Linked DNA regions of Saccharomyces cerevisiae S288C. The gene in region 3 interacts genetically with the main gene of each other region. Each region holds a gene or a part of one and is shown on either strand. Other genes may lie near its edges.

Evidence for each region.
Region 1: mutations in CWC21 (region 3) and ECM2 are lethal when combined (synthetic lethality), as found in Saccharomyces cerevisiae (2 studies listed by BioGRID, with this or other methods).
Region 2: mutations in CWC21 (region 3) and STO1 are lethal when combined (synthetic lethality), as found in Saccharomyces cerevisiae (2 studies listed by BioGRID, with this or other methods).
Region 4: of CWC21 (region 3) and AIR2, changing one suppresses a phenotype caused by changing the other (phenotypic suppression), as found in Saccharomyces cerevisiae (2 studies listed by BioGRID, with this or other methods).

What each region holds. Positions count from the first base shown.
Region 1 is NC_001134.8:364,459-372,365, forward strand, and holds ECM2 (Pre-mRNA-splicing factor ECM2), read right to left. Parts: upstream 5,221-7,907; coding exon 4,126-5,220; downstream 1-4,125. Other genes in the region: tRNA methyltransferase TRM7, read right to left, coding at 329-1,261; YBR062C (uncharacterized protein), read right to left, coding at 1,518-2,044, 2,127-2,142; CNM1 (Cnm1p), read right to left, coding at 2,512-3,726; NRG2 (Nrg2p), read right to left, coding at 5,579-6,241; TIP1 (putative lipase), read right to left, coding at 7,645-7,907. UniProt on the Saccharomyces cerevisiae protein: Involved in pre-mRNA splicing. Facilitates the cooperative formation of U2/U6 helix II in association with stem II in the spliceosome. Binds to RNA.
Region 2 is NC_001145.3:513,921-523,548, reverse strand, and holds STO1 (Sto1p), read right to left. Parts: upstream 6,011-9,628; coding exon 5,986-6,010; intron 5,664-5,985; coding exon 3,103-5,663; downstream 1-3,102. Other genes in the region: SAS2 (histone acetyltransferase), read left to right, coding at 204-1,220; DLT1 (Dlt1p), read left to right, coding at 1,760-2,788; EPO1 (Epo1p), read right to left, coding at 6,262-9,093; PKR1 (Pkr1p), read right to left, coding at 9,588-9,628. UniProt on the Saccharomyces cerevisiae protein: Component of the CBC complex, which binds co-transcriptionally to the 5'-cap of pre-mRNAs and is involved in maturation, export and degradation of nuclear mRNAs.
Region 3 is NC_001136.10:1,417,650-1,425,142, reverse strand, and holds CWC21 (U2-type spliceosomal complex subunit CWC21), read left to right. Parts: upstream 1-4,304; coding exon 4,305-4,712; downstream 4,713-7,493. Other genes in the region: VPS72 (Vps72p), read left to right, coding at 1-323; VPS52 (Vps52p), read right to left, coding at 455-2,380; alpha-1,2-mannosyltransferase KRE2, read right to left, coding at 2,658-3,986; alkaline phosphatase PHO8, read left to right, coding at 4,893-6,593; DIG2 (Dig2p), read right to left, coding at 6,773-7,493. UniProt on the Saccharomyces cerevisiae protein: Involved in pre-mRNA splicing. May function at or prior to the first catalytic step of splicing at the catalytic center of the spliceosome, together with ISY1. May do so by stabilizing the catalytic center or the position of the RNA substrate.
Region 4 is NC_001136.10:139,738-147,810, forward strand, and holds AIR2 (TRAMP complex RNA-binding subunit), read right to left. Parts: upstream 5,782-8,073; coding exon 4,747-5,781; downstream 1-4,746. Other genes in the region: DLD2 (D-lactate dehydrogenase), read left to right, coding at 1-1,377; YDL177C (uncharacterized protein), read right to left, coding at 1,472-1,984; GID12 (Gid12p), read left to right, coding at 2,360-4,486; DLD1 (D-lactate dehydrogenase), read right to left, coding at 6,089-7,852. UniProt on the Saccharomyces cerevisiae protein: Component of the TRAMP (TRF4) complex which has a poly(A) RNA polymerase activity and is involved in a post-transcriptional quality control mechanism limiting inappropriate expression of genetic information.

The DNA.
Region 1 (7,907 bases), on a different chromosome or scaffold from region 3:
TTTGGGTTGTAATATTGACAGATTCACCATGTTCTCAATGGTTCTGTCACAATTCGAAAGTTCTATTACTCGCAAATTCGAAAGCAGATGTTTTAAGAGACGAGGTGAAGTAAAAAAGAAGAAAAATGATTGCCATACTCCTCAATGCTTGCATGTAATATAATATAATATAATTACTGTTTCATTTTCTTTTATATTATACAATGGATATTCTACATAACCGTAACCTATATCGTTTTTAATGATTGCAAGGAAAAGTTGATTTTGTAGATAATCTTATAATGTAGTGACTTATTTAATTGTTTGATTAGAGGTAGTAATATTGCAATCAAACTGATCTAGTGAGTTTCCCGCTCCTTTTTAATTCCAAAGCTTTCTTGTAGGGAGGGTTCGTCGGGCTTTGAACAGGATCTAAGGACGATGAAGTGCCTGCAACCGAAGAAGGTAGGTCATGATAAGTGGCATCTGAGTCGAAACTTTGAAGACTTCCACAAGCCATAAATTCGGCTATGTTTCTCTCCTCTTCATTCCAATGAGACAATTTGTCTGATATACACAATTTATTCAAAAAACAGCCTTGAAAAAATTCATCAACGGATGTATTTACATCTAATTTTGGTGTCCAATTGGATGGTGGGTTATAGCCTAAACAAACAATAAAAGCTTCCAGAGATGTACCTCTTGATGATCTTGGCTTTGCGCAAACGATTTTATCGAATAGATAGCCCAATTGGGAATATAGCATATCTATATCACGACCTCTGAAGATCTTTGCCACAAAAGTTCCACCTTTTTTCAGAATGCATGCAGTAAGTTGCAGCGCACTCATAATTAACTGTTGTTGCACGTATTCGTCAAGATCGTGTAACCCAGTAACATCAGGTGCACCATCACTACAAACAAAATCGGCCTTTTCGTTGCCAAACAGTTTTAGAATCCTCGCCAATGTTTTAGGATGAGTGATATCGGCTTGCAACGTTGTCACATGAGGTATGGGGGACATCGGTTGTAAATCGACAGAGACAATTTTCCTGTCCTCCTTATCTGAACTGGGACTTTCATCAAACAGTTTTCTCGAGAGCACTTGTGACCATGAACCTGGTGCTGCACACAAATCTACAACTCTTTTTAAGTTTGGATCATCCAGGAAATGAAATTGGTCATTGAGTTGAAGTAGTTTGAAAGCAGATCTAGCCCTATAGCCCTGCTCTTTTGCTTTTCTATAGTACAAATCTCTTTTATCTTTGCTGCTCTTACCCATCTTGAATACTTTCTTTTTAAGCTTGCCTTGTACTCATCTACTGTTGTTTTACAGTAATGTTAGGAGCATCGCTTGAAAATTTTCAACTCGCGATAATTATTGTTAGCGCAGAATAATAATACCTAGTAAAAAGTTTATCGTTGCTTTTACTTCATCATGATAATCAAAATACTTGTAGGTCTGTCTTCTGTGAAAGAAGACGTAGTTACCTATTCTACTTAGGTTTGGTGTCTTTATATAATATAAAAGAAAGATATTAACCGTACATACCCCAATCTTCTTCCAGTTCTGCTTCAGTTGTATCAATCTCATTAATGATTCGGTGGCCCATAACATTATCTCTGCATAATGGACATGTTGTACTTCGAGATAGCCAGACAGACAAACACTCTAAGTCGAACTTATGATGGCAATGAGGTAATTCAACTACTAAGGGGTACTCATCTTCTAAATAATTAGTGTAACAAATGGAGCAGTTGTCAGTTGCTTTGAGCTTTTTTTTATTGATTCGTGGTAAAGAGGCTGCAAAAGTATCAGGACAGCCCGCACTCTTGCCTTTATCCATTTCTTGCAACCATTCTTCCTGTAATGATTCTGGAAGCATTTGCGATAATAATCGTAAAAGTAGTGTTGAATCTGAATGTGCATCACCCTCACCACTGGTGTTACCAAAGTTTTGAAATAGACCTTGCAGTTGGGATCTGACCTGTCTTCTCTGCTCCTCCTGTGAAGTTCCTCCTACTTCTTGGTAATCCCTTGAGTTTTGTTGTATTCCATGTTCCTCTAATCTAATGATGAGTGCAGATTAAAATTCGGTTAGTTAATTGGCTTTGGGGAACTTACTTCATAATATATCATTACATACCTTCATATGTAGACATTTTTTTGATTGTGATTATGTTTGATGAATATATCTTTCTATTATTTCTTTAGTAGTTTAGGAGTGGCAAAACTGGTATTATAACGAACTGAGCGCTCCTCGGTGCAAACAAAAGCCGCCCACAACAATTTTGACCAACTTAGGCAAAATGAAGCCATTACTAGAAAACGAAGAGTATATATCATCACAGTAATTCGGGTAGGAGAGTTGGTCACCAAAATGGGACTCATATGGAAGGCAAAAATTTCGAGCTTATTCATCATGGTTGTACCCGTAAAGTTTTTGTTTCCGATATATAGAGTACAGATGTTTTCTAGTTAACAGTTGGCATATCTTACATTTTCCGGATTATGTATCAAATAAACTTTATCTATGAATAGTTAGAGTACCACAGTAGAATCGAAGTTGCGCCTTTATCATTAACTAACAATTTTTTTGTGGGAACCGAACTATTATGTCTCCTGGAACAAATCTTTTGACTTTTAACCCGGAGCAAATTGCGAATCCTTGTCAAATTTTGAACTTCATCATAGCGGATAAGATCCTTATGAATCACTTCATCTAATCGCTCTCGTTTTTCTCGGTATGCTCCAGTTATTTCAATTGGGATGTTGTTATCAAAGAAAACTGGTTTTTCCATGAACATAGTCAGGAAAAGTTCGTCACCAAATTGGCTTTTTATAATCAAAAACGATTTACAGATATCACGAATTTCTCTACTCACAGATTTAGTATTATCTCGAGCAGTGAAGCTTCTCATAATTGAAATATTTCCAGGCGCGTATTGTCTGCCATAATGGGAGAGAGATACATCGCATCCCATAGGAACTTTAACCATTGTTTCGTTAATACTTTTTTCAATACCTTTAAACGGCGTTTCATTCGCGCTATCAAGTAATGTATTATTTACCACTGCTTTAAACTCGGGATTCGAGCCAGGTGATCGCGTTAAGACCTCTGTTGTATAATCTTTAGTTAATAAGTCGTACTCATCAAAATTGCCATAGGTGAAATTTTCATCGCTTTGGTTCAAAGTTACCATATTTTGCCTACCAATGCTGAGAACTGACTCCTTTGAATGTAAAACTGTGGATTCCTCATAATTTCTCTCTTCGGTAACGTCACTTCGATTATTGAGGCAGTCTTCATTAAAGTTTATTACAATGGATATGGTATCACCAGTCTTGAACCTACAATCATCTATTTTAGGTGAGCTCGTAGGCATTATTGGAAAAGTGTTCTTTCTCTTAATAGAAGAGATTAAATACCCGATAATCACACCCAAAATTATTGTGGATGCCCAGATATCTTCTTGGTCATTGTTTTTTTTCGCTTCAATCTGTAATCTCTCTGCAAAATTTCGGGAGCCAATAGTGACAACATCGTCAATAATAAGTTTGATGGAATCGGAAAAAGATCTTAAAAATGTAAATGAGTATTTCCAAATAATGGCCAAAATGCTCTTTATATTGGAAAATAAAATAGTTGTTTCGCTCTTCGTAGTATTTAACATTTCCGTTCTTATCATTGTAAAGTCTGAGCCATATTCATATGGAAAAGTGCTTTTTAAACCTAGTTCCTCCATATTTTAGTTTTTTATCGATATTGGAAAAAAAAGAGCTATCAGAAATCAGTCAATATATCATGTACCTATGGAACCTTATCTTTCTCAAAATAATAAATTATAGTGATACTTTTAGAATTGTGTCACTTTCTTTTTATTTGTACTTACAAAATTCGGCCGAGTTATCATCTCGGTAACCGAGAGGAAGAGCCCGAGCAGCTAAAAGCGACAAACCGTACAGATAAAATGTTCGTGCTAATCCAAACTGCAGCATTCCGTATAAATTTGTCAGATATACTGATCAACTTAGATAAAGTTCCCCACTCAACCTGCTTTTGTTTATTACTTGCAAGGTAGATGGATGGTCGAAATTGATCAAACAGTTCGTTTCTTCAACCCATGATTTTTCTTACGTTTCATCTATATTGTTAACTTGTTAGCGCGAGGTTTCGATTTCTTTGATCTGTCCTTATGAACTTTTTTTGATGTCTTTTTCTTGTCATTCTTTGCGTTATCTGTGCTTTTTGTAGGAAAAGAAAGCCCTAGCTCCAACTGAATAAGCTTATTCAAACTTAAACTAAGTTTTATATTTTCTGCAGTGTTGGTTCCGAATGACGCAGCTGAAAAGCCAGACGACCACGGAATGATAAAGATTCTAAAACGGTCAATAAGTAAAACTCCTCTCTTTAGGCCCTTTGGTGTGACAAGTGTCTCACTTATTTTACTGACAAACCGCTCCCCCAATTCACTAGATTGAAATCTTAGGCCACCACACTTCGCCTTGTGGTTGACTATTAATGACAATGAATTTCCATCCTTCCATTTCTTTATACCCAATAATTGCGAAACTGTATCAGTTATTTTCCATTCAGGGATCGAGGCATCAATATTATACAGAAAAAATGATTTGGTGGAGGGGTTTTTTAAAAACGATTCATTCAAGGGTAGTTTCTTCAAAATATGAGAAATGTCCACGGACGCGTACTTTTCCAAGTTTTTGACCTCATTTGCACCTTTTTCATTTTTATACAATGCAGTTGTGTTTTTTATTAACGGAGTACTTGGGCCATCTGATGTTGCTCGCAGAAGTATATTTTTCAATTTATCAACGATATTATCTGCTTCTGACGGATCACTCGTAATCTGAGCTCCTCCTAATTTCACGTTTTTTAGTGACAGAAACCTTTTCATCATGTCGTTTTTTGCTTCCTCCGTCATAACGTTTTCCTCGTTCACAAGGGATATTAAATGATCCCGCAGTTGTATAGGGATGTGCCATCTTGAATCAAGCATACAGCATTGACAAATGTTTCTCTGAGTGGCGCACCGTACACATATTAATGTTTTAATGATATTATTGCTTCGTTTAGACGTCTTAAAATGGTATAAGGTGAACGGTAAGGTACAAATCTTACATTCAGAGCCTTGTGGAATTTTAGTCATTCGTATATTAGCCTCATCACCTAAGCACTGCTCACATATATTGGGCGGTGGCTCATTAATTTCATCATTCATTATATTAAGGGTGCAATAACTCTTTTCCGTTAGCTACCTTCTATTCACCTGCTCAAAAGCCCTTCCATCATCATTACCACTTCTATCAATAAAATTTGCCATAGCATTTCTTTTTTTTTTTTTTAGTCCTTATTGCCTAAACGTCATCACAGGAGAGGGTAATCCCGGAATGAATAAGGTTTGAAACTTCACGTCCCTCCGGGTTGTGACTTAAAAAAATTACGAAAGAGAACCGACTATCGTTCCTGCTATTGTTCTTGGTGAGTATTACTAACCCGCTTAGTTTTATTACTATTTATCAGTCTTTTATTTGTACGTTATTTGAATATTTAAATGTTTTTGGCTGAGCTCACTCACATCAACTGCTAGCCTCCCTCCTCTTCCAGTTTCTTTTCTTCTTGTTTGCATGAGTTCGATAATGCTGATTACAGTTATCATGTCTACTAAACCTCTGTCCACAGCCCTCATGCGGACAGATATGATTTTTTTCACCTGTATGGATTCTGTTATGTCTTGAAAGATGACCAGAAGTGGTGAACCCAGTAGAGCAGATCTTACAGAAATGACGAGTCCTCTGTCCTGCTGTATTGGTTTTCGTAGATTTCAATTTTATCACGGTTTTTGTCGGTTTGCTTATTTTAATTGAGCTATATGGATCTGATTTACCGTTACCGGTATTCTCTGCTTTTACAATATTAATATTTTGCAATGGCAGTATCGGTGACGTTTTTCCACTTGCTGTTAATCTTGAAATAGTCCCGTCACTCGTTCTGTTCGCTTGTTTTCCGGAGAAAAAATCGAAAGCGCACTTATTCAATTTATCTTTCAAGTCATCATCAATTAGATGTGATGTTTTCATCAAGGGTATCAGGGTTTGGTATTTCCTTTCATTGTTAAAAGAGAACATTTCAGGCATAAGAGTTATCTGGGAGGGCGAACATTCGAAATTGATGGGAAATTCACATTTCCTATCTTTAGCTAGAATAGTTGACATCAAGTTGTCTTTGTAACCTATGGACATCTGGAAATTTTGTAGAAGCTTTATATTTTTTGTTCTTCGAACAGTAGCGAGTGCTCATATGACTTGGTGCCGGAAATTCATTTGAGCTGTCATAATATGATAAATATTTATATGTAAAAATTTAGGCCAGATAATATATAAAAGATAAACGATTTAAAGAGGGTGTAGGATTTGCCTGTTAGCGATGTAGGAGCTACTGCACGATGTAGCATGTAATAGCCAGACGTGATTCCCCTAAACTCAGGCCCTTCTCCAAGGAGAATGCAACGGTAGGCAGTTCGTTTGAAATTGAAACTTTTCTCAACGACAATGATGTCCCGCAGCATAAGAAAACATGAGATCAGAAAAGCGTTGCAAAACGCAGAAGCCACTTATCAAGAGCTACGGCTGCGCGTTTTTCTGGGACGTGCTGACAAACGAGAAAAAAGATGGCTTTGTATTCAGTTCAAGGCCCTGTGTATTTTTTTCCTTCAAGAAATTTTTATTTTGGCCTGGGGTCTTTAAACGGACGGGTGCCCTGAGAGTACTCTCGCATAATCCAGGGATGGCTTTTTCACAGTCGTTTAACATTCGTTTATGAAGTAAAGAAAAAAAATACCAAACCCCGTTAAAAGAGAAAAAAGGTAGCCGAACATTGAAGCAGCCCATGCCAGTTTGTCCTTGGGCAGATAGTTTTCCGTCTGGCTTGAAAGGTTATAGTCTCCTTTTTTTCTTGGCTTCGGGAAAAATACGATTTGTTTGTTATTCTATATGCAGAGCCGCTGCTCTGCAGGGATTTATGATCTCGAGTGCCATTGATCTTGAAGCATCTTTTGTTGAAAGGATTTGTATGACATCATACCCGAACTTTTTTAGCACGTGAAAATGGAGAAGTCTATGGTTTTAGAGGTTGCTATTAAGGCATTTTCTAAACTTGAGGGTTGTTTGATCTTATGTTGGTTGGTTGTAAGCCAGCCGGTGTAGCCACGTGTTAAATCTTGACTTTTTTTCCCGAAGAGGGTCTGGTCCTGTCTATTTTGTTTCATGCATATTTTTTCTCAAGGAGAAAGACTCTTCGCTGCGCCTTGGCATAATAACGTCTTCGGTAGGGTCCATTTTTTTAACGTTGGCGATGCCCATATTTAGCTCGTTTGGTCGTTCCTTCGAAAGATAATCGTTCGTAAATTAAAAATAAAAGAGAGTAGTTTTCGAGCAACGAGTAGCCAGCTGGTGCCAATTGTCAAGAAAGGAAACATTTCTTACGGATTGGGAAGAAGCACTAATCTCGAAAAAGAGAACGTTTTTAGAAAGTTTTAGAAGTTGATTATATTAATGAAGAAAAAATTTTCGAACTAACAATTACATAAAGAGAAGGTATAATAATGGAGGTAATTTTTCAAATATTTGTTGTAAAAGGTTCCCTTTTATAACAATAAAGCAGCTGCACCTGCAACAACAGCACCGAAAGAGGCAGCGCCTGCATTGACTCTTTGACCGGCATTGGAAGCAGTTTCGACTGTAGAAGTGCTGACAGAAGAGGTAGTTGGAGCGACAGAAGAAGAAACGGCCTTAGAAGATGATTCGGCAGATGATGATGGGGCAGCAGAAGAAGATGGGGCAGCAGAAGAGGATGGAGCGGCAGAGGATGTAGCTTCGGAAGAAGATGCAGCCTTGGAAGAAGATGCAG
Region 2 (9,628 bases), on a different chromosome or scaffold from region 3:
CCAATCATCATGATATGTTAGGCGCGTAAATATGAAGAATAACAGAATCGTTAATCAGAAGAGATGATGAAATCATTAAGTCTTGTCCATATCGAACTGGATAGAGTATGTAGCGCTCTAAGAATCTGTTAAATTGAAGTTTGATTTTTTGATATTGGAGGCTCCTATTTTCTAGTTGCTTTTTGTTTTCACTCGCAAAAAAAATGGCAAGATCTTTAAGTCAATCACTCACAGCGACTACCCAGAAGCTAAAAGGAAAGAAGAATGGTGGAAAAGGCAAGAATAAGCCCTCAGCAAAAATTAAAAAAACTCAAAAAGAGATGCTATATGGAATACTGAACGAAAGGAACATAAGACAGATTCAGTTTGGACTGAATAAAAAATTCTCTACTTGGTATGGGAGCGCCGTTTATTTCGATCCTGAAACAAAAAGGCTAGGGTGCTCCGAGACCAAGGGTCAGCTTTCCTCTGTTTCTAACAGCCAATACTGGCTAGACACTCTTTTCGTTTGTGAATACTGCTTCAAATACACGGATGATCAGACGCGGTTTGTAGGACATGTTGCAAGTTGTCCATTTCAATATCGTGTTCCAGGCAAAATAAAATACAAGAGTCCTGAATATACAATAAGAAGAGTAAAAGGATCCAAGTATCAACTCTTTTGCCAATGTCTTTGTCTTTTCACTAAGCTATATCTGGACAATAAATCCATGTATTTCAAAGTAGATCATTATGAATTTTACATAGTTTATGAAACTGGATCAACAAAGCCGATGGGATTCTTTTCGAAAGATTTAGTGTCATATCAGCAAAATAATCTAGCGTGCATCTTGATATTTCCCCCATATCAACGACGTGGATTAGGCCTTTTACTTATCGAGTTTTCATACAAACTATCCCAATTAGAAGGTGTAATATCAGGGCCAGAAGTACCGTTATCACCTTTTGGACTAATCGGGTACTTGAAATATTGGTCACAGATACTCTGTTGGCACCTTATTGAAGGTGACCTCGCCCATTATGATAAAGTGACCCTGGAGGATCTTTCCATCGTGACTGGAATGAGAGTCAATGATGTTATTTTGACCTTGAAGCACTTGAACTGTATTGGGGAGAATAACCAAATTTACTTGCAGTCATTGAATAGCTGGTTGAAACTACATGGAACAAAACGGAATTGGTTCAAATTAAAAGATGAATATTTGCTGATAGATGACTAGGAATCTATTCAGGATGTAACTTAATGGCATATGTATTTCAGGATAGAATATCGCTCGATGAATTCCTGTACAGACAACTACAAACGGACGAATTTTGTCTGACCAAGTTAAGAACAGAGAACTAATGCATAAAATTTGTTTTGCTGCAAAAGTTTCCCTTTTTTTAGAGTATAAATATCTTTTATAGCAAAAGACTTAAAACAGGTTCACGTTTTTATTAGCCGTTTTTGGGCCGGTTTTTCGATGACGAACAAGGACCAAACAAATACAGCATCAAAACAAATTCTAGAATAAGAAGGCAGAAAGGGTAAGGGCATAAAGGAAACCTTCTTTTGTGGTGATGTTGAACTGGGTTTAGCCAAAATTACAACACATATTAAAGTTTTGTTATTTTGCGATAAAGTTATTGCTCTTGAGCATCAAAGAAAGTGGGAGGTTAAACAGAGGAAAACACATTGAAATTTATTCAAAAAAAGATACCGCTATACAACTTTGGCCTGATACTATCTATAGACACGAGTGTCCATACTTAGCAGTAGATGTCCGGATTCGCAAAACTCAAGTCGTGGTTATACAAAGCTTCCCTTTTCGTTTCTTTGATACTTTTGATTGGGTTTTCAGTTGTTTTACCCATAGATTCCATTGCACAAGCTTCTAAATCAGAAAACAATGCCTTTAATACGTTCATTGTTGTAGGCGCTTTAGTTGTCTTTGGCGTTTTTTGTATCTTTATTATTATTGGAAGAATGCTATTTCATAAGAGTTGTTTAAAAGATATACCAAGAAGATATATTCCGATCACACCTGCTGATCTCCCGCATCGTTCTAGTAGGGAAGCAGTACTGCAGAACATGGAAAGATCTAAAGAATTAACAATTCTTCTCAAAAAACCTAAAGACCCTGTTATTCACGACGGACTTGAGCCCCCGAGGAGATGTGACTACCCATTAGATGAAAAGTTATTTCCAGAATACCTAAACTATGCTGATTGTATAAAAAGTTTAACAGATAGACTGAAATACCATGGATTGTTTCTGAACAATTTAGATGTTAGAATGAATCTAGAAGATACGTTTGCCGACGTGGTGAACTCACAATTTGTTAATCACAACGCCAATAAAATTCAGTTAGAAAAGGCGAAGGAGTTTATCGATTTATATGAAACAATTAGATTTTCAGGGAAGGACGTTACTAGAGACCAGTTCATAAAGTTTGTTAAGTTTTGTCTCTATTTCGGTGAAGTGTCATTAACAAGAGACACTTCATTTGCAAATTTACATAATTTTAGATTAAATGGCAGTTCAAATAACATTGGAAGAACTGAATCAAAATATTCAATAAACCCATTTGATGAAAACGAATACGCGCAGGATGATATGCATTACTTTCCCGAACCGCCTACACATTTGGTTAGAGAAAGTAGCATAAGTACTGTCGCAAGGCATGTTTCATCAGGTGTAGATCTGACTAATTCTGAAGAACATCCTTTGGATACGGATTCTGATTGTAACGCCCTTCGTCTCAAACTTTCCAAAGCGGATAGTTATAGAAGTGTAATTCGTCATTAGAAACTCTGATCAATAGCATAGTGTAACATAGTGTAGCATACCATTCAGGTTGTATTATATACGCAACAACAATAAAATATTAATTTAATTATTGCGATGACAATTAAGTAAAGATGATTGAAGAAAACAATACTAACAAATTTTGAAGCATTTGTATTTACTTAATTTTAAATTTATTATTATAGGTACAGTTTCAATAATATATTTATATAAAGCTGATATTTTATATATAGGAAAATTACGCTAGGTATGTAACATTGATTAAAAATTAAAAAGCGGAGTGATAACGAATGTAGTCCATCCTCCGAATCTTTTTAAACTTCCTTTGTTTCTTGAATCCAATTCGAAATTGTTCTCCTAGTGGATTCGTGTGGAATAGCGTTATCAATGTTGGCAATGAATTTGTCTGCTAACTCACGATATTCGTGGGAATACCTTCTTAATATACTTTTAATAAACCCAATCACTGTAAAATATTTCCATTTCAAATCCAGTTTATCATCTTCAATATCGTCGATGTCCATTTCCCCGTTGACTTTAGGTATCTCAATATCTTCATCAGCATTGACATCTAGTAAGTCTATAGTACTGTTGGCGATGGTACATAATCTTTCGAAAACGAACTCAAAATTATTTCCACTTTCGTTCTCTTCCGAGATTTGTTGAGATAAATTTCTAAAGACCGCTTCAATTGCTGTAGCTTCAATCAAACCATTATTCTTCAAACCAGTTTCGTTAAATATAAATGTAAAAATGGTTCTGGAAGTAAGTAAACCTGCATATTTGAATGCATCTGCTACTAAGAAACCTGTCTGAGGGTTGGCGTTCCAAAATGTTAGGACGGCTTCAATTATGATATACTCTTTTGTCTCGATATCCAATTCAATCTTCGCAAATATGGTTTTGAGATCTTCTTTTAAATCATTAATATATTTATTAGCATGTGATAAAGATCTACTACCAGAGTCTGTAACGGCCTGGACTAACAATATGATAACAAATCTGTTAAAGTCGGAAATTATGGAACCATACTCATTCTTTAACTCACCTAGAATACTTTCTAATTCAGTAACTTCCCTAGAATTGTTTGCTTTGTGGGTATAATCTAAAATTTTACGGACTGTGTTTTCCATAGGTACACCTTCTTGTCTAAAATATAGATCATTTTTTCTAACGGAATCTTCTTCTACCGTATAACCGGTGAATAATGATTGATAGTAGTTAATCAGTTGATCTCTTGGAATGTAAGAAGTATCCAAATATTTCGTGAATTCTTGTGGTAGGCTGTCCTCTACTTCTGAAAAGTTAGAGGTCAATCGTAGTTCTTTTTGAATCAAATTTTTAGCAAAATTTACCTTTGGATTATAAAAATACTTGCCAAATTTGATCGAATCGTCTTCCCATTCATTCCACTTCCAAGAAAAATTAAAGTTGCTCATTTGAATTGAAAACCAGTCCAAATATCTTAATTTTAGTTCAAAATCTAATGAATCCAAATGACTATAAAAAAACCTAAAGGCTCTACCAAAGACAGGAGCAATTGCTTTTGGAGAATTTTGACAAATATCCACCAATAAAGTGTAAAAGTATGCAAAAGGCTGGGAAACACTAGGTAATTTAAAAATAAGTCCCAAAATGGTTTCAATAGCCAAATCTTCTATCTTAAATGTAGGAGCCAATGGGTTCTCTTCATAAGTGGCAATTAATTGGGCAATAGATTCACCAGGTTCTGTAAATATACCTGCTTTGAAAAAAAGATCCAAAGTTATCACTTGTCTAGCTACTTCCTTTCTATTGAATTCTAAACTTTCCACCAGATCAATAATGATATCGTTGAATAATTGACCAGCATAAGTGCTGATTGGTACAACTGTTTCGAAATTACCAGCGGAGTTTGGCAAGTAAACATGAAAAGCATACCTTGGTGTCTTCCACATGCTATCAACTGAACCAAAGTTTTTATTCAAGCGCACGAAAGACTTTAGATCATCTACTGATGGAAGGGTTAAAGCGTCATTGAACCCTTCATCACCGGTTTGGGGAGTTAATAAATGATTCCAATCAGGAAATAATTCATTCAGCTGTTCCAAGTTATTGATTAGCGCCTTCTTGACGTTTGGTAATACGACTCGGACAAGTTCTACCATTTCATATGGAGGTTCACCATTGTATTCTCTTAATAGGTTTATATCCGTTGTTTTAACTAGATAGTTTTGTTCAACGTATGCAAGTAACTCCTCCACTTTTGTCCTCAAACCGTCATTATTCCTATTAAAAAAGAACAAATACGGGATATTTAATAATGTATTGGTGTAAATTGCTTCAGATAAAGGAACTCTGTTACCTGGATCCAGATTGTTTAATTCGATACTCAATTCAAATAAGCTCTTGTAGATATTGATTAGTTCATCAACTAAAAACATGGGCGATAGAATGGATAAAAATCTCAGGATTAACTTGATCTTGTTCCATGGCCCAGTTTCATTTGACGTACTCTTGAATTCATCATTATATGTTTGCTTGCACCATTTTTGTAATTCTTCGAAGAAGTAATTGATAATACTCTTTCCGGCAACATTATTTTTCGAATTAACAACCATGGTTAAGAGAGCGATAGCAGCTTGCTTCTGTGGTTGCTCCACAACAACAGCGTTTAAAGTGCTCAGTAAAGCATTATTAAAGTAGTCCTCATGGCCATACTCATTCATTATAGCTTCACTCAAGAATTTGATATCATCTTCAAAAGCTTTAACAGATTCACCAATAGTGCGAATATCGGGCATCATTTCTTTACACAGTTGTACAACAGGTGGGATTCTCTGTCTTTTAGGCATGCGAGGCCTAAAATCACGGTAATTTTCATCTTCATCGAAGTCTAACGGTAAAATCATATGCAAGGTAGTCAAAGTTGGGTATGTTAGTAATTTGAATGAAACTGAATAATTGAGTTTTTGTAAAACCAAGCTAACCTAATAATCCTAGGAATGTAAAACAAAGTAAAGATGGAGAGTAAAATAAGAGAGGTTACTTGCCGTTATGTATTCTACGTGTACCGTTTCTCCACTTCTCTGTGCCACAAAAGTACACTTTTCTGTCACACCGTACTAACTGACAAAAAATGGAAATACCATCCTAATTGGTCTTGATATACACACTCTAGAACGAAACTTCTGGAAAACATTGGTTTTAAAACATACCTCCTCTTCTTTTTCTATTAAACATCTTAAATATATTTAAAATGCAATTGTAGCCCCAAACGCGTATACCAAAGTCGTTTTGATTAGCAATATACCTTCTGTCCTTCCTTTTTTACCCATTATACACTTTCACCTGTTGCTGAGTGTGAATTATATTTTTTTCAACTTTTTCAAGAACAATCTGAAAAAGCATCTTCTACGTGTAAAGTGATTTTATACTTACGTAGTATGATTTTGGTGCACTAAGCGATATATACAATAAAATACATCATTCATCTACTGTAAACGTCCTTTAAGCATTTCAATTTCTGAATCTCTCTCATCAATAAGTTTATTCAAGTTTTCAATTCTTCCTACTAGTTCCATAGAACTTGGTTTGGTGCCATTTTCTTGGAGTAATAACTGCTCCTCCGCAATGAATCTCTTTAATCTCTCGTCATTTAATTGCTGGATCAATTGCACAATTTTACTGGATTTTTTTCTCAGTTCCTTTTCAAAGTCAGAAAAAGACACACTCGAAGAATCGTCAAAAGATGGTGCTGAATTATTGGTTTCATACAGCCGTATTCTTTCTTCTAATTCAGTTTCCCTTTTTATCGATTCTGCTAATTCTGTAGACACCAGTGTCAACTCATTCATTAATTCTTTGTTTTCTGTTATCAAATTCAATTGCTCACCAGATATTGTTATCATCTTTGGCTGAGAGCTATCTTCTCCACTAGTTGATCCGGCGGAAGTTATGTCTCCTCTCCTAGCATATAACGGTTCATACGGTTTGGCTAAAGTATTATCAAAACTGAAGTCTTCTTCTGAAGCATTCATGCCATCCTTATCGTAGCTAACTGGGGCTGATTTTGTTTTGGAGGGTGAACCATCCATATGCGGTACAAAATTATCAGATTCTGAGGCGGAATCAATATTCAACGGCAGCGTATTGGAGATGAACGATCTACGGGAAGAGCTGGACATATGAGAAACTGCTGATAAATGACCATCGCGATTATTTTTTTTATATAGAAAAGTATCATTGTTGATGTTTTCCTGGTTCATGGATATGTTGACATTACTTAGTCTCCTGCCATTGCCATCGGATTCACGTCGCTTAATGGTAGCATCTGAGACATTTCTTTTGGGATCTCTTTCCGGTATGGATTGTAACAAAGAAGCCCTTTTACTAGTATTGAAATCAAAATCGACCTCGTTCGTTGTATTCATTTCGCCATTATCCGAATTTGAGTTATACTTTCCGGGAGAGGGGAATTCTTGTGCGGTCACGTATTCATTGATATCAGTAGAGTTTTCTAGCTTATACATACCTGTTCTGGTATTGATGATTCTTTGCTTGGAGGGAGAATCACTAAATGTGGATGAGAAAGTCGACAAGGACGCTCTATTGGCGACTGCACTTTCACTTTCCAATTTAAGATCTTTTAAACCAGTCTCTAGCGCACTCGCAGGTCTTAAATTTAAATCGTCTGATTCATGTGAAATTTCCTCCTCTTCATTTGCTTCAGTATTTTTCTCAGCTCTTTCCTTTTCTTTTTCTTCTACTAGTGCTTCTCTCTCACGTAAAGATTTTTCCATTTCAGCTAGCTTCCTTTCTTTTTCCTTTAACTCGTTTTGTTGAGGAGTGGATAATTGCAAAACATTCAGTTTTCCCTTGTTTTCAATAGGTTGATCAATGTTCACTTGTTTTTTTAGTGGTGAAGATCCTTGTTTTGTAGAGTTAGGCATTGCTGTAGCATCAGTAGGAGATGACGGAGAGAATGTAGTCAGGGAGTTGTTTTGTACGTTCGGTATTGAATAAGCTGAATTATTCTTTGAGGAAATTGACGATTGACTGATTGGCTGTTTCATGGACACAGCTTTACGATCGTTGTCATTTGGTGACCATGGATTAAACCCTTGGGGAACGTTCTGACTTTGTAGAGACATTGTCCGATAGCCTTCAGACATTGGATGAAGTTGAAGTTGTTGTTGTTGTTGTTGTTGTCTTTGTGATATCTGCTGATGACCTGCGAATGGCCGAGGATTTTGGGGTGAATATCTTGGGCCATTAGTTAATGACAGAGTACGTGGTTGCTGAGGTGGCTGTTGTCCAGAGGGCATTACTGGTGGGGTATTCTGGAATTGACCTGGGTGATTGTTGTAGTTGTTCATCGGTAGCATTCTTTGTTGCTGCGGCTGTCGAAATTGTCCGGGAGGTCCACTCATCAACGAATTTGATCTCGAATAATTAGCGCTCACCATTTTATTCGGTTGAAATCTAGGATGAGGAGTGGGTGCTTGCATTAAAGGATTACCATTCGGGAAACTTTGCAAAGACATTGCTCTCGGAGGCAACGAGGCTAATGTACCATTTTTAGTTTGTTTAGCCATGGCATTCATTGCGGTTTTCCTTTGATTAGTAATGTACTTCCTATACTCAGTATTACTCATATTGCCGCGGTCTTTAGTCACCAATGTTGGAATGATAGGAGTGGAATCACCACCATATCCATATTTGTCACCGCCCTTGTGACCGAAGGTCTGAATGTCATTGAATGTTAGGTCGGAGTTTGCAGAATCATCCAAGATAACCTCATCGTCATCATCACCATCTCCACCACCTCCTGTCCCCTTAGTGTTTTTCTTTGACTTCCCAAATTGATGCTTATGTTTGAAAAAATTGGAAAATGAGCTCTGGGTAAATGAGGAAGCTTTCTTACCATTAACATTATCGCGATTATTGCTTAGTGATGGTTTGGTGAAGTTATGCTGCATGAGGGGAATCTCATTCATATGTGGATTGGAATACTCAAAATTATACTGTTGTTGCTGGCGTTGCTGTTGTGAATAATTCTGCATGGGAATTTGACGTTGTTGAAGTGGCGCTTGTATTGGAGCCTCATTCATGCCATTACGGTAGTATTGCTGCTGCTGCTGCTGCTGCTGCGGCACGGAAGAAGGCTGGATGTTAATATTGCTGTCATTCCCGTTCCTTGAAATAGGTGTTTCATCCCTAATGTCAATATTTCCTATATCATTATTCAAGAGGTTATTTCTCAATTTAACTCTAGCAGAAGACTGACCGTTTCTTGTTGCCATGGTCGATAAACCTGCATCCATTTTGAACTTTTTATAAATAGTCTTTGAGTACTTTTTATCCCACTGCTTTATCGGATCAGGCTGTACCTCTCTGCTCTTTTTGTAGGGTTATTAATAGCTCGGTGAAAATTAATGAAAGAAAGCTCCAAATTTAGCTATAGCCGTAAACTAAAAAAAAAAAAATTAGGAGGGCAGTCACTAAAACAAAAAATCAGAATTCCTATGCAATGTGCTGCTGACACAGTTACTTGAAATGCCTATTTATTCACAATTTGAAGGGTTTGCGATGCTGAAAGAGTTGTTCTATTCAGTCGCACGCGTTAACTCTTTGCATGTGCTTCATTTGTCCATAATTGAGCCCAAAATTTGATTTAAAAAAAAGGAATTTTTGAAAAAAAAAAAATATCAGGGGAGACCCTGAAGCGGACAAAAAAATTTACAATTGCGGACATTTACCCGGAAGCTCTGTGATATACTAATAACAGAGATAATTATGTAGTCAATTATGTATCTGTCTATGCTTTTCTTGACCTAGATTGTGCTTGAGTCCGTCTGG
Region 3 (7,493 bases):
AAATCAAAATTAAAACACAGCCTCCAACGGGTGTCTTCTTAGCCAATGGTATAAGAAAAAAATGTTTAATCACAAATAAAGAATGTCAGTACTTTGATCCAAGGACTGGTGTGCCTTATTCTGATGTGGAAGCTTATAAAATTATTCAGCGGATTCAAGATCCTATTTCTAAGGAGGAGGGAAGGTCAGATATCAAGCGTGATGAAACGACAAATGAGGATAGTGACGATCAAGTGAGATTCAAGTGGTTTGGGTTCAAAAACGGCGGTATTTACCTTGATTTAAGTCAAAGACCTGCAAAAGGTGTTCCTGAAGGATTTTAATTGAGACAGACTATATAATGGTAGGTCGTTAAACATTTGACTATATTCCACACAAAATAAGAAATCATAAAGATCATTTTACATAAAAATATACTTTATACGCTCCATGTCTTATACAATCGTTACATTCATCAATTTCTGGTGAAAGCTTCAACTAAAGTTTTGAAATGATTTTCGGTCTCTCTGATTATTAGTGGTACGCTTGAATCATTATCGTCGTCATTCGCAACTTTCGTACCAACATTTTCAGCAGAATCAAAATTGTAGTTTTGTGCATCCGAGTCATTTATATTTAAATGTAGATGCAATTGCTGTAGGTTATTGTATAAATACATGTAATTTGTAGCCAGAAATCTTTCTGGTGATTTCGTCTTTTTACTGCACTTTGTCATGACTGTTTCGAAATCATTTCTTAATCTAATGATGGAATTGTATAAGGGTTCAGATCTTTCGTCTATGGACTGCTTATGTGTTATTGCCAACGTCAAGAAGCTTGATAAAAATTTACCGAACTGTACAGTTAACTCATGAGGTGAGGTCAAAGGGCTACTATTGGATGTGCTTGAGTTGCCGGCATATTTTGCCACATTTGTAGTTATTGCCGCTTTTCGTAAGCTCTCGCATTGAAAATCGACCAATTGCTGAAATCGAGGCCATAATTGAATTAATTGACCATTCAAGAAACTATCAAACATAGACGGTATTCCTCTCCTTTCTGATTCAAATTGTAATTGATTGGCCACACGAATACTTATTAATACACCAAAAATGTCATAATTATATTGGATCAGTTGTTGAGTGTATGTTGTGGCTTCATCAAAAGTTGGTTGAAATATTTGTTCCAATAAACCATTAATTTCCTCAAAATTATCGCCATTCATAGCGAAGAAATCTTTTAAAAAATGGTACTCCACCGTACAGTTATCTAAAATTGCAAGGTTTAAATTTTTAAATCCAATTTCAATGTAGTTTTTCGTTGTGTTATTTTCTGCAATTTGGGATACCATTACCGTATTGTCTTCTTGTGTTAAAATGTTCAATCTTTTCTTTATCTGAAAGTATTTATCAATTTTCTCATCTGTTACAGGGAGTTTATTATAGAAAGCATTTGAAGCGGATGTAGTTAGATAATTTGAGAAAAACAATGATGGTGAATTGTTAAACCCACTCACTGAAGTTGTAGAAAGGCCATTACCCAATGCAAATTGCGAGTCGATTTGTTGAAATTGCAAAATAGTCAATGACCTGATATATCTAGAAAAGTATTCTCTATAATACCATTTCATTGTGTAACAATATGCCTGTCTTAACTCAAGGGCTAAGGAGAGATTATTATCTCTTATGAAGGGGAAAATTTTTTGAACTTTTAATAATTTGTTTTGTATCCTTTGCGATGGTACTGGGTTATGACTCCTCAAAGTTTTGATTTTGGAAATAATAAGTCTTTTCGACCTTTCTAGAATAACATTTTTTAGGATGTCCAGGAGTTGACATAACTTATCAAAATCCTTTGGTGCTAGCATTGCTGAATTTTCTGCGTCCTTGTTGTCTTGATCGAGATTATTGGACCTATACTTGTTATAAATTTCTTCTTTATCTGCTATGAATGTTATATTATCCTGCCAGCTTTCATTGATCTTCCCTTTAATGATGTCATCAATGAGTTCAGGAGGAATCATCAAATCATTAACCATAGGAGAGATATGTGCCAGTTTAGTGGAGTTGTATTCGAGCAATGACTGTAATTCATTGGACTTTTTTTTAATGAAGTCTAAATCTTGTGTGTAATTTGATAACCTATTAGTGAATTCGGTTAAGTAATCAATCAATTGAGGAATAATTATATTAATAGCCGCTTCATTGTTAGAATGAGTTTCCTGTAATGATTTAAGTTTAGCAAATGGTGACTGATCTTTGTTTGAAGGCGCTTTAAATTTACAATCCTTCAAATAGTTTTCAAAAGGATCATCCGTTTCATTTGTTTTATCTCGGCTCGTTTCCTTCAGCTGGTCAAATTTATCTTGGTCTAGTGACAACACCTCTTTGAGAACATCCATAGTTCTATGTCTTCAGCTAATTTTTTTACGCTTTTGTTGCTTATAGCTTATTCCTCTTTCCTCTCACTTGTAAAAACTCTTGATATACCTTATATTTTTTCGAACTATTCTCGGAATACGCTAATGAGAATAAAAATATTCGAATCTTTAAAAAAAATGTGGATTGCCTCACTTATATGTTTGATACGCAGTCCTATGTGTACTTAACCAGTTATAAAAATAAAATATAAATAGAAAGTATAAAGTCAAAACAAAGAAACAGTATGTTCCAAGATTTCTACTCACGGAATTTTTTCCAGTTTTTTGGCTTTACCAACCCTTGAGCATCATAATATTCCTTACCACAAGAGTAACCTTGGAAAGTGAAATCATTACCTTGGTCACATTCACAGTTGTTACTGTTATAGACCTCCTTGTCCAATGGGCAGTTATCATAAGGTGGATGATGGTAACCAATGTCTGAAAAATAATGGATTTTATCCTTTGGCAAAAACAAAGCAGCAGCAATAGAATGAACGGGAGCATCGCCCCATCTTTCGTAGAAAAATCCACCTTGATGATCCAAAGTGTCAAAATACTCTCTGTAGGCTGGTGACCTCCACAAATTCAAGTTTGCAATTTCAAAGTTTGACCAGAAATGGCACAGATTGTATGTTTTACCATTATCGTTCGAAAGAAAACTCATCAGGTTGTTTTCATCTAAGTATTCGGGGTTCTTTTTGATGAAATCCATGGACGTTTGCCATAGTGTTGGGATCGTCACTTCATATTCATGAATAGAAACGGTAAAGCCGTAAACTTTTTCGTTTTCTTGCATCCACTTAAAAACGTCGTAATTAATATCACAGTATAACTTGATGTCTGGTTCCACACGCCAGTACCAATCGTACTCTTCTAATAATTCATGTCTCCAGAAAAACCCAGATTGGTAACGACACATGTGTCTATAAGATTCGGAGCCACCGTATATGTATTTGGTGGCAGCATCTGCACGAATTTCAGCAGCCTTGGTTTGATTAATCCATTCAGGATATGACCAATGTTCCTTGGGCAAAATACCAAACTTAACTTCGGAAGAAACAGCTTTGGTGACTGCTTCCTTGAATTCTTCAGTAAAAGGTTCATCGTTTAGGAAAACCCAAGGATATGGGAATTTCTTGTTAATTTTGTTTTCCACATATTTAATGGAGCTTAGCAAACCTTTCAACTCCTTGTTTCTCACCAAAGTGACGTAACAAGCTTTTGGCTTACCAGCTTTGTTAGCAAAAGATGGAGTGATATAATCCATGGTTGTTTTAGTGTCGATCGGGGCATCTGCCTTTTCAGCGGCAGCTTTCAGAGCCTTGGATTCTTCATCCATGGCTTCGGAGTCTTCGCTTGCCTCTGAATTCAGAGCACTTTGCTCTAATTTTTTAGCATCATTTTCCTCAGAGATGACTTGTTGTTCAGGGGATATAGATCCTGAGGTAAAATCAAATGCAGCGGAGATGGAACTCGGAATATATTGCTGAGTTCTACTGTTGGAATTCAATGTTAGGAGGAGAACAATAACCGCACCTGCAATGACGGTAAATCTCAACAGTCTCTTACTGAGAAAGAGGGCCATGCTTTCGAGTGGAACTGCTTGCGAATATGGATATCACTTCCAGTATTATAGATTCATAAAATGTATAAACGAATTAAATCGCAAATTATCTCCTTTTCAGACTGTTTCTTCACCAAATTTCTTTTTTTTTTCCTACTAGAAGAAGGCGTAGCAGATAAGAAGGAAAAATTATATTAAGCGTGCGGGTAAAGGCAAGGAAGAATCAAGTAAGACCTCAAGAATGGCACTATAAGTGTGGTATTATAATCTGTGTAATCCTAATTTGAGCTCTACACAATACCATTCGACGGTTAACAGCTACTGCATCACCGTCCAGTCATGTCGTACAACGGAATAGGGCTCAAGTCGGCAAAAGGGTCATCTACGTCGGGCCACGTGCAGCGATCACTTGCTAGCAACAATAGGCGCAGACCACAGGGTAGTCAACAGCAGCGGCAACAACGACAAAATGCGATCAAAAAGGCCAGCCATGACAAGGCAAGCAGGCCTCTTGCTGTGCAGAAACAGATAGAGACTCATATGGAGAAACGTGAGATTGAAGTACAAGTTAGCGAGCTACGGGACCGACTGGAGGAGGAAGAAACGCTCTCGGAAGAGCAGATTGACAAGAAATGTGAAGCGTTGAGGGCAAAACTGACGAACGAGTGGCAAGAACAGCAGCGGATGTCCTCTTTGTACACCCCTCGTAAGGCGCGTCTAACGGAAGAGCAGCATCGACATGAATAGCAGCATTGACGATAGCGATAAGCTTCGCGCGTAGAGGAAAAGTAAAGGGATTTTAGTATATAAAGAAAGAAGTGTATCTAAACGTTTATATTTTTTCGTGCTCCACATTTTGCCAGCAAGTGGCTACATAAACATTTACATATCAGCATACGGGACATTATTTGAACGCGCATTAGCAGCATGATGACTCACACATTACCAAGCGAACAGACACGTCTTGTTCCTGGATCTGACTCGAGCTCTCGTCCTAAAAAGAGACGGATCTCGAAGAGATCAAAGATAATAGTATCCACTGTGGTCTGTATTGGTTTGTTGCTGGTTTTAGTGCAACTGGCATTTCCAAGCAGTTTTGCATTACGTTCTGCATCACACAAGAAGAAGAATGTCATATTCTTCGTGACGGATGGGATGGGACCTGCGTCTTTGTCCATGGCAAGATCATTCAACCAGCATGTTAATGATTTACCTATAGACGACATCCTGACACTTGACGAGCATTTTATCGGGTCTTCGAGAACAAGGTCCTCGGACTCACTAGTCACTGACTCAGCTGCGGGCGCCACCGCATTTGCATGTGCATTAAAGAGCTATAATGGGGCCATCGGTGTTGATCCGCATCACAGACCTTGTGGTACAGTGCTCGAGGCGGCTAAGTTAGCAGGTTATCTCACTGGGCTTGTTGTTACGACAAGAATCACAGATGCCACTCCGGCTTCATTCAGTTCACATGTTGATTACAGATGGCAGGAAGATCTTATCGCTACGCACCAGTTAGGCGAATATCCTCTGGGGAGAGTAGTAGACTTACTCATGGGTGGCGGCAGGAGCCATTTCTACCCTCAAGGCGAAAAGGCTTCTCCATATGGTCACCACGGTGCTAGAAAAGATGGAAGAGATTTAATCGATGAGGCTCAATCTAATGGCTGGCAGTACGTGGGTGACCGTAAAAATTTTGATTCTTTGTTGAAAAGCCACGGTGAAAACGTTACTTTACCTTTCTTGGGTCTCTTTGCAGATAACGACATTCCTTTTGAAATTGACAGAGATGAAAAGGAGTATCCTTCCCTTAAGGAACAAGTCAAGGTGGCTTTGGGTGCCTTGGAAAAAGCTTCCAATGAGGACAAAGATTCTAATGGGTTTTTCTTAATGGTGGAAGGCTCCAGAATTGATCATGCTGGTCACCAAAACGATCCAGCTTCGCAGGTAAGGGAGGTGTTGGCTTTCGATGAAGCATTCCAATACGTTTTGGAGTTTGCTGAAAATTCCGATACGGAGACTGTTTTGGTCTCTACGTCGGATCATGAAACGGGTGGTTTAGTCACTTCAAGACAAGTCACTGCTAGCTATCCTCAGTATGTCTGGTATCCACAGGTGCTCGCCAACGCCACCCATTCAGGTGAGTTTTTGAAAAGAAAACTAGTAGATTTTGTTCATGAGCATAAGGGCGCAAGCAGCAAAATAGAAAATTTCATCAAACATGAGATCCTGGAAAAAGATTTGGGTATTTACGATTACACGGATAGCGATTTAGAAACATTAATTCATTTGGATGACAACGCAAATGCTATCCAAGACAAACTGAATGACATGGTATCATTTAGGGCCCAAATTGGCTGGACCACGCATGGTCACAGCGCAGTCGACGTCAACATATATGCATACGCCAATAAGAAAGCTACATGGTCATATGTCTTGAACAATTTACAAGGCAATCACGAAAATACGGAAGTTGGCCAGTTCTTAGAAAACTTTTTAGAATTGAACCTGAACGAAGTCACTGATTTGATTAGGGACACCAAACACACATCAGATTTTGATGCTACAGAAATAGCTAGTGAAGTACAACATTATGACGAATACTACCATGAGTTGACCAACTGATCCTATCTAACTCTCCCTCTTTTTTCACATATTATTTAATACGTTATAATTTATTTGAATATATATATATATATATATATGTATATATACTAACCGCATGACACGTACTGTATCGCATTTCGTTTCGGAGTGCAGGCGAGTTTTAGGTGCATTCTATAGCGTGAAGAAGTGAAATCTCGTCATTTCTTCAAGTTATGCCATTCAGTCCAGATTGTTTCACATGCTTTCATATAGTCATTTTTGTCGTCGCGAACTTCAAATTTGAAAACATCATCATACAGAGAGATTTCTCCAATAATGATCCTTTCTTTGTCGTTGTCATCATCGGCATCGTCGTTAAGTGAAGCGCCCTCACTTAATGAATTTTTCGTGACAGAGCATTCAATGTCTTCATCAGTCTTACTTATGATTGGGTCTCCGTTGTGGTGTTTGGAGACAAAGGTTCTTTTTCTCGATGTCAAATCTTCCAAGTGTGGTGATCTACCAGCCAACTTCTTCCTCTTTGCATGGTAGTCGGCTGGTATTATACCATTATTATACAAGGGGCCGGGATACATCGGGGAATAATAGCCTTCGTATGCGTGCGTTTGTGTTGGAGTTGAAGAATATGGGTAGCATGGTACTGGTGGCAGTCCAGTATATGGATAAGGGTAGGTTGCTGTCATATATGAATTGGCCACTGAAGGATGATAATCTTGATTCGTAGGAGCCATCCTACCCATATATCTGACCCTAAGGCTATTTTTGTGCTGCGGAAATCTTGTTATGTTTGGTGGAGCACTTTTAGATCCATGCAAATGAGAAGATGCTTGTATATCGGAAAAATTTAGCGCTGGAGGTACCCTTTTCCTCTTTAAAGAATGATTCAGCGACTTAAAGGGTACGGTTTTCTCTGCTGGA
Region 4 (8,073 bases), 1.3 Mb from region 3:
TTATCGGAACAAGAAATATTAAGAGCCAGCGAATCAGAGGATCTTTCATTTTATAATGAAGATTGGATGAGAAAGTACAAAGGACAGTCCAAGTTAGTATTGAGACCTAAGTCAGTGGAAAAAGTTTCTTTAATCTTAAATTATTGTAATGATGAAAAAATTGCCGTTGTCCCACAAGGCGGTAACACGGGGTTGGTAGGTGGTTCTGTGCCCATTTTTGATGAATTAATTCTATCTTTAGCAAATTTAAACAAAATAAGAGATTTTGACCCTGTATCAGGTATCTTGAAGTGTGATGCTGGTGTAATCTTGGAAAATGCTAACAATTACGTAATGGAACAAAATTATATGTTTCCGTTGGATCTGGGAGCTAAAGGTTCCTGCCATGTTGGTGGCGTGGTTGCAACCAACGCTGGAGGACTAAGGTTATTGCGTTATGGCTCACTACATGGAAGCGTTTTAGGCTTAGAGGTGGTAATGCCCAATGGTCAAATTGTTAATAGCATGCATTCCATGAGAAAAGACAACACCGGTTATGATCTGAAACAGCTGTTCATTGGCTCAGAAGGTACTATCGGTATCATCACTGGTGTTTCAATCTTGACTGTTCCTAAGCCAAAAGCGTTTAATGTATCTTACTTGTCTGTTGAAAGTTTTGAAGACGTTCAAAAAGTCTTCGTCAGAGCCAGGCAAGAATTATCTGAGATTTTATCCGCTTTTGAATTTATGGATGCTAAATCTCAAGTATTGGCCAAGAGCCAATTGAAGGATGCTGCCTTCCCTTTGGAGGATGAGCATCCATTTTATATTCTTATCGAAACGTCAGGGTCAAACAAAGATCACGATGATTCCAAACTTGAAACATTTTTAGAAAACGTCATGGAAGAGGGCATAGTAACGGATGGTGTAGTGGCACAAGATGAAACCGAACTCCAAAACTTGTGGAAGTGGAGAGAAATGATTCCAGAGGCAAGTCAAGCTAATGGTGGTGTTTACAAATACGATGTTTCTTTACCACTAAAGGACCTATATTCTTTGGTTGAAGCCACTAATGCAAGACTTTCTGAAGCTGAATTAGTGGGTGATTCGCCCAAACCAGTGGTGGGCGCCATTGGATACGGTCACGTGGGTGATGGTAATCTACACTTAAATGTTGCAGTTAGAGAGTACAACAAGAACATTGAAAAGACTTTGGAACCATTTGTCTACGAGTTTGTTTCCTCAAAACATGGTTCCGTTAGTGCCGAACATGGGCTAGGTTTCCAAAAGAAAAATTACATTGGCTATTCTAAGAGCCCGGAAGAGGTCAAGATGATGAAGGATTTGAAGGTTCATTATGATCCTAATGGAATTTTAAACCCTTACAAATACATTTGAAAATAAAATGCCAAGTTTTATAGTTATCTACATATGTATATATTTATCAATATTATATTCTACAATTGTGTATATTATATGGTAAGGGTGATATTTAAGGAAGAAATCCACCCTTCTTTAAGGTTTCCACTGCACATGTTGAAATGTGTCTGAATCTTGATGAGCCCAAAGGCGTGCCACCATACCATCTGGTCACTATTACCAAGACGTTGAATATGTTTGCTCTTTCAAGTAAGGTCAATAAACGCTGTCCAGCACCAGCTTCGCCACAGTCAGCACATCCTTGCTCAATGTTCTTTGGCTGCACCGTTATGTTCCTTGACTTGTTAACATGACTATTATTACTCTTATTTGCTTTATTGCCCTTCTTTTTCTGCTCTTGTTGTAAGTGCAAATTATTTGATACCTCGGCCGTTCTCCAGGCATACATGTGCATGTGGGATGCCTTGGAGACGCTTTTGTTGTTTTGCGTTAGTTCTTGGAGTATGGAGGGTATATCCTTTTGATTTTGTAATGGGCAACATCTTGCTTGAAATTTCGATTTTCTATCAACTAAAACTTCTGATTCATTCCATATTTTCACTAGCTTACCAACATTCTTACTCATTTCTCCAAAAAATAGTAATACCAAACATCAATACCTATCTAAGAATCTGTATAATGTCTTTTCTAAAGGTTTTTTACAGCTGATGATTGATGCATGACTTATTTCCACAGTGCCGTATTTTCTCAGTTGCCGTTTTGGGTCTGCTTTTCACAATGCGAAGCTTTGTTGAAAAGAGCTCTAAGGTCAAAAACAATAGTAAGCTGATCGGTATTAAGTACTTGCCTTCCTGAAAATTGCTAACAAACATCCAAATATACCTTCCCCATAGTTGAATGGCATCTAATAGAACAAAACCAGGTTAAGATAGGTTTTACTTTGAGTTGTTAAATACACGCAGAAAGCGTCTTTCCACATAATCTGAACATTTTGTTATCGATGGCTACTGGCAGGATTCAATTTGCTGTTTCTACTCCCTGCAATACTAAGGGTAAACCGTCTGGTTATAGGTTATTTGAATTTAAAAACGATCGATTAGCACTGGTCCCATCAGAAAGAGGTTGTACAAAAGTAGATGTGAATGCAAATATACAAGCGTTTTGTTATTTAAGGCCTAATGGTAGAGACACGTCAATATCTCCAGACGCAACGCATATTTTGGACTCATGTGATTACATGGTGCTGGCTAAATCCAACGGATTCATTGAAATCATAAGCAACTATCAATACAAGATAAAAAATGGCCTGCGATTAGCGCCCTCTTATATCCTTAGATGTACTCCGGAAGATTTCGAATCCAATTTTTTTAGTGACTATATGATCGCTGGTCTTGAATATAGTCAAGGTTTATTATATTGTTGTATGTGCTCCGGTCGAATATATGTCTTTGTAATGAACCTTCCCACTGATTACATTCAGTATAAGAACATGTACAACCCCATGTTTCCAGATTGCTTTTTCAAAGTACATCACGATAATAATACAACACATTCTTCAGAAGAAGAAAAATTATTTGAAGGTAGTACGCGGTACACTGGAAGGTCATGCTCTAAGCATATCTGCTACTTCCTTTTGCCTATAGAACCATCCCATTTAAGATCGTCACCCGTGGTATCTTCGTTTTGCAATATGTATCAAGGCCTGCCCATATATAGGCCTTCGATGTATTTACATATAGAACGAGGTATTTCCACATTCCATATAAATCCATTAGACCGGTTTTGTTTCATGACAGTATCGCCACGATCACCACTATTTATAAGGAAAATAATTTTACCATTGACTTATGTTACATTTTTAAGCACCTTTATCAGCCTAAAGAACAGTATACAGGGAGATACATGCGGTGAGATACTTTCGTGGGACAACGTAGCGCAACAAAATGGATTTGGTTCTTTGTTCAGCTGGATTAGTAACAAGTTTACATTCGATACGGATATTATAAATTCAACCATTTGGGATGATATTGTAAAATATTCTGGAACAGGAATGCTGGATTCAGGAATCGTCTGGAAACAGCGTCAAGGTCACGCTAAAGATGACATATATGAGTTATTCCACACTCAAGATATGCTGGGAAGTAGTCGCCGAAATTCTTCATTCAGTACTGCTAGCAGCGAACCGAGACCGCTGAGTCGAAGAAGGAGAGAATCTTTTCAAGCCTTAACTAGAGACGCTTTTAGAGAAAGAATGGATGTACCCTGTTCAACGAAGTGGGAATTAGATTCTTTTATCCGAGGATTAAGAAGGAATACATTTATGGTAGATTTTGAAATTGTTGAAAAGATTTCTCATAGAAATGGAAATGATGGGGTGAATGAAGATGATAACACTACAGATGAAAGTGATGAAACAATGACTTCTTTTCTAACAGATAATTACAAAAAGATGGACATTGTGTGCATCGATCATTTCGTCACGTTGAGTGCATTCCGACCTCGGTACTATGATGAACCAATAATTAAAATCGATTCATTATCGAACAAAAATGGCTCTGAAAATGGAACTAATGAAGAAGAGTGGGCAGAAAGTCAAATGAAGGTGGATGGCCAAGTGATAGATGATGAGACAGCTCAATTCAAGCAGGCATTGGGAAATTTATGTTCATTCAAGAAATTATTTATGCTGGATGATTCTTTATGCTTTATATTGGACACACATGGAGTTTTGTTGATAAATAGATTTGAAATAAAAAATACCAAAAATTTGTTAAGGAATTCCAAGGATACTATTCGGATAATACCCCATGATTTCGGATTGATTAATGATACAATTGTTATAATTAATGATATAGACGTAGGCACAGACAATGTTTGCGCCCTTACGTTTCACTTGGTGGTAACATCAATGGCAGGAGAGATAACTGTTCTTAAAGGCGAATTTTTCAAAAACTGCAGGTTAGGAAGAATAAAACTGTGCGATTCACTAAAGCTAAATAGAAAAGATCGGTTTGTCGACAAACTTGCTCTAATCGATTATGACGGTTTAAATGCACAAAAAAGAAGGTTAGATTACGATGAAAAGGACCTTTATACATTCATTGTGAAAAAGGTAAAAAGAGACTAAATTGAGTTGCATAGATGTTAGCCATAATAGAAAATAGCGTATGAGGTAGCAGGAGTTATAAGACGTATTTACGTATATGTATGTATATGTTATTATTATTACCTGTGATTGCACGAAGGCCTTTTTTTTTCACAACAAGAAGATGTAAGAAATTTACATGCTATTTTGATTAATGGTCGAATTAGGTATTGTCTTTAATCTTTCATTAAGAAAATATAATGTAACCAAGAACAGCTTGTTAAAGGGCTTCCTATTTAAAGTTATCTTCTTTTCCCCAAGGTACCACTCCTATATGGTTGATAAGAATTGTAGTTTCTGTAATTGGAAGAGTTGGAAATGCTGTTATTATCAACATAAGTAGAAGGGTTATATCTGGAGCCATACATATTCTCCGATATCGACGAGACGTTTACTTTTGTATTTTGATACCGTGAATTTTTACTAATATTATTATTGAGTGACAGCGTCTCGCCCCTTATAGTTGGTTGAATGACATTAGACTTTTGATAAGGAGGAGGATGGAAGTTCGATGCTCTACGTTTATTTCTGCCACTATGAGAGTGATCGTTTTGGGAATGTCTTTTATGGGAAGGTCTCGGTAGTGGATCCTCATCGTATATGGACTCACTAAATTGATAGTCTTCATTTTCGTCCGAATTTCTGTTCATGTGACGGTAATATTCCTGTTTTAGCTCAACTGACAAATTAGAACCAGTGAACGCACTTCCATCCTCGTTAGGTACTCTAGATGATCGTTTTTCCTTGCAATCATCACCAAAGTGCCCCTTTCCACCGCAGTTATAACAGTATATAGTATGAAAGGGAAGGACCTTGGGCTTAGCCTTTTCATTATCATCTACTAAAATATATGCTCTCCATATACTAGGACATCTTTCTTTTGAGTGTTTCTTACTCTTACAAAGAGTGCACTGAACTTTTTTCCATTTATGTGGACATTGTGACCTGTAATGACCCACCTCATCACACTTTGAACACTGGATAGCCTTCGGACAATGTCGAGAATAATGATCATCCGTCGCCCCACAGTACGAACATATTATATGGGGACAATCCTTCTTCAAATGACCTCTTTGAGAGCAATTATTACATTTAGGTGCTGCCTCTTTAATGGCATCCTTGTCATCATCGCTTACGCCAAAATATCTACCCTGCCCTCTAAGAGCTCTTAATTCGTTGGGATTACTATTTACTTCCTCTATAGAAGGTGCTACAAGTTTATCTGGAGGAGTTGTGGGTGCCGTATCGACGACAAATGGTGCCGTATTTTTTTCCATGACTGCGAGGAAGTGATGTAAGCTGCTATCGTTGTACAGGTAAGGTTTAATTCTCTCTGATGCTGCCAATAGTCATAACTTTTTTCGAAATGTTTCTTCCCATCCCATTAGTGTTTGAAGGAAAAAAAGGCACTACCCGGATCATGAATACATTTGATGGTAATAATATATATCACATTTTTAAGCATGTATTAGCTACTGGGAAAGGGCATTTTGAAATGGTATGTTTTCTTTAAGGATGAACTATATATATTACATGAAATATATTTCAGGTTTACGTGAAGGGTGAAAAAGGAAAATCAGATACTCACCTGTAATCATTAGCGGGCTCGTTTGGATCAGTTTTAAAGATTTTGTCCGGGTTCATGATTCTCTTTGGGTCAATAGCTAGCTTAATCTTTCTCATCAAATCGACGGGTGCTTCACCTAATTCTTCGAGCAAGTACTCTCTTTTACCAATACCAACACCGTGTTCACCCGTGCAAGTGCCTTCTGCGTTCAGTGCTCTCTTGACCATTCTGTCAACAAGTTGGCTACAGGTTTCGTGTTCTTCAGGGGTTCTGTAGACGATGAATGCATGGAAGTTACCATCACCTGCATGACCAACAATGGCGTTGATCAGCTTACTAGCTTGCATGTCCTTTTTAGTTTCGTGAATAACCTTGTCGAACTGCGACACAGGAACAGCTACATCAGTTGTCCAAATTTTAGCTGATTTGTCTTTGCTCTTATCAGCGTCTAGCACAGACCATAGCGCGACCTTTCTAGCTTCCCATAATTCCAATTTTTCGTCATCATCTTTAGCAAACTGAAAACTGTTGCAGTGATTTAACTGGGCGACAGCCTTAACTTCATCCACAAGAGCATTGACAATGTTGGGAGATCTCCCACCAATCTTGAAAAACATAGTTGGTTTCTCTACCCAATCACATCTGTCCGTGGATTCAGATGCGTTGATCAACTTCATCATATTTTCATCCAGTAACTCCATGGCGTTCAAATGAATACCACTCTGAGTCAGATTAGAAGCACATGCGGCCGCATCCTTGATAGTATCAAAGGATACCACCGCAACAGTTTCAGCTTTGGGCTTGACATGACACTTGACAGTAGCTTCAGTAACAATACCTAAGGTACCTTCACTTCCCACAAATAAACCATTTAAGTTATAGCCAGCGCTCGACTTTCTGGGTCTTTTCTTCGTCTTGACAATGGTCCCGTCCGGCAACACTATAGTCATGTTTATAATATTCTCCTTCATGGTACCGTAACGGTAGGCGTTGGTTCCTGAACAAGAATTAGCAATGCAACCACCAATCTGTGCACCTGGACCAGGGTCACAGCCAAACATCAAACCGTGGTCGCTCAAATAGTCATTCAAATCCTCCCAGGGTAGACCGGCCTGCACGGTGATGTCCAGGTCCAGCTTGTCAAATTTTACGACGTTATTCATAAACTTGGACAGGTCTACGGTTATGGTATCTCCAATTCTTGTAGGCAGGAAGTGCCCCTCCAAGGACGTTCCGCCCGAGAAGGGTACAACTGGCATGTTGTTATCGTGACATATTTTCAAAATTTTGGAAACTTCTTCGGTAGTATGAGGGAATAATATAATCCTAGGTCTTTGCTCGGGAGAGGGGTGATGCGTGTTGAAGTAGGTATCTGAATGGGCGTCCAAATCGGATTTCGCATCAGAGTAGTTTTCAGGCTTGTTTCCCAGCACCTGCTTCAGGTCCTCAACAACCTTATCGATCTTAACCGGGTCGTGCAAATAGTCTGGTGAGTCCAATGAGGACAGCTTTAACGTAGAATTTACTGGGTCGATCTTTTTGACCATTTCCAGCTTCTCTATCAAATCTTCCTTAGTCTCCCTAGAATAGAGGTTCTTAGCGAACAAATAACCGAATAGAGTAGCTGAAGAGGCGATGACAGAGTATTTTAACCACTGGCTGCTGCTGTCGGTGCTGCCTGTGCCTGTTGAGGCGTATCTGTAGCATGATCTTCTCACCAGCCTTCCTCTAGGTTGTGCAATAGGCTTTATTAGCCTTGTGCAAGTACGCTTCCACAACATTGTTCTTGCTTTTGTTTCCAGCTGGATCGGAATGATGTACAATATTTAAATTGCACTATAACACGGAAGCTCAAGAAATCTTTCCAGCCCACACACACACACACATATATATATACATATGTAGTTCCGAGTGCAAAATCGCTAAGCGGTTATTACTGCACCAGTTGGGGCCAACTACGCTGGATCGACGTGGGATTGGCAGGGAAGAACTTCGAGGGAGG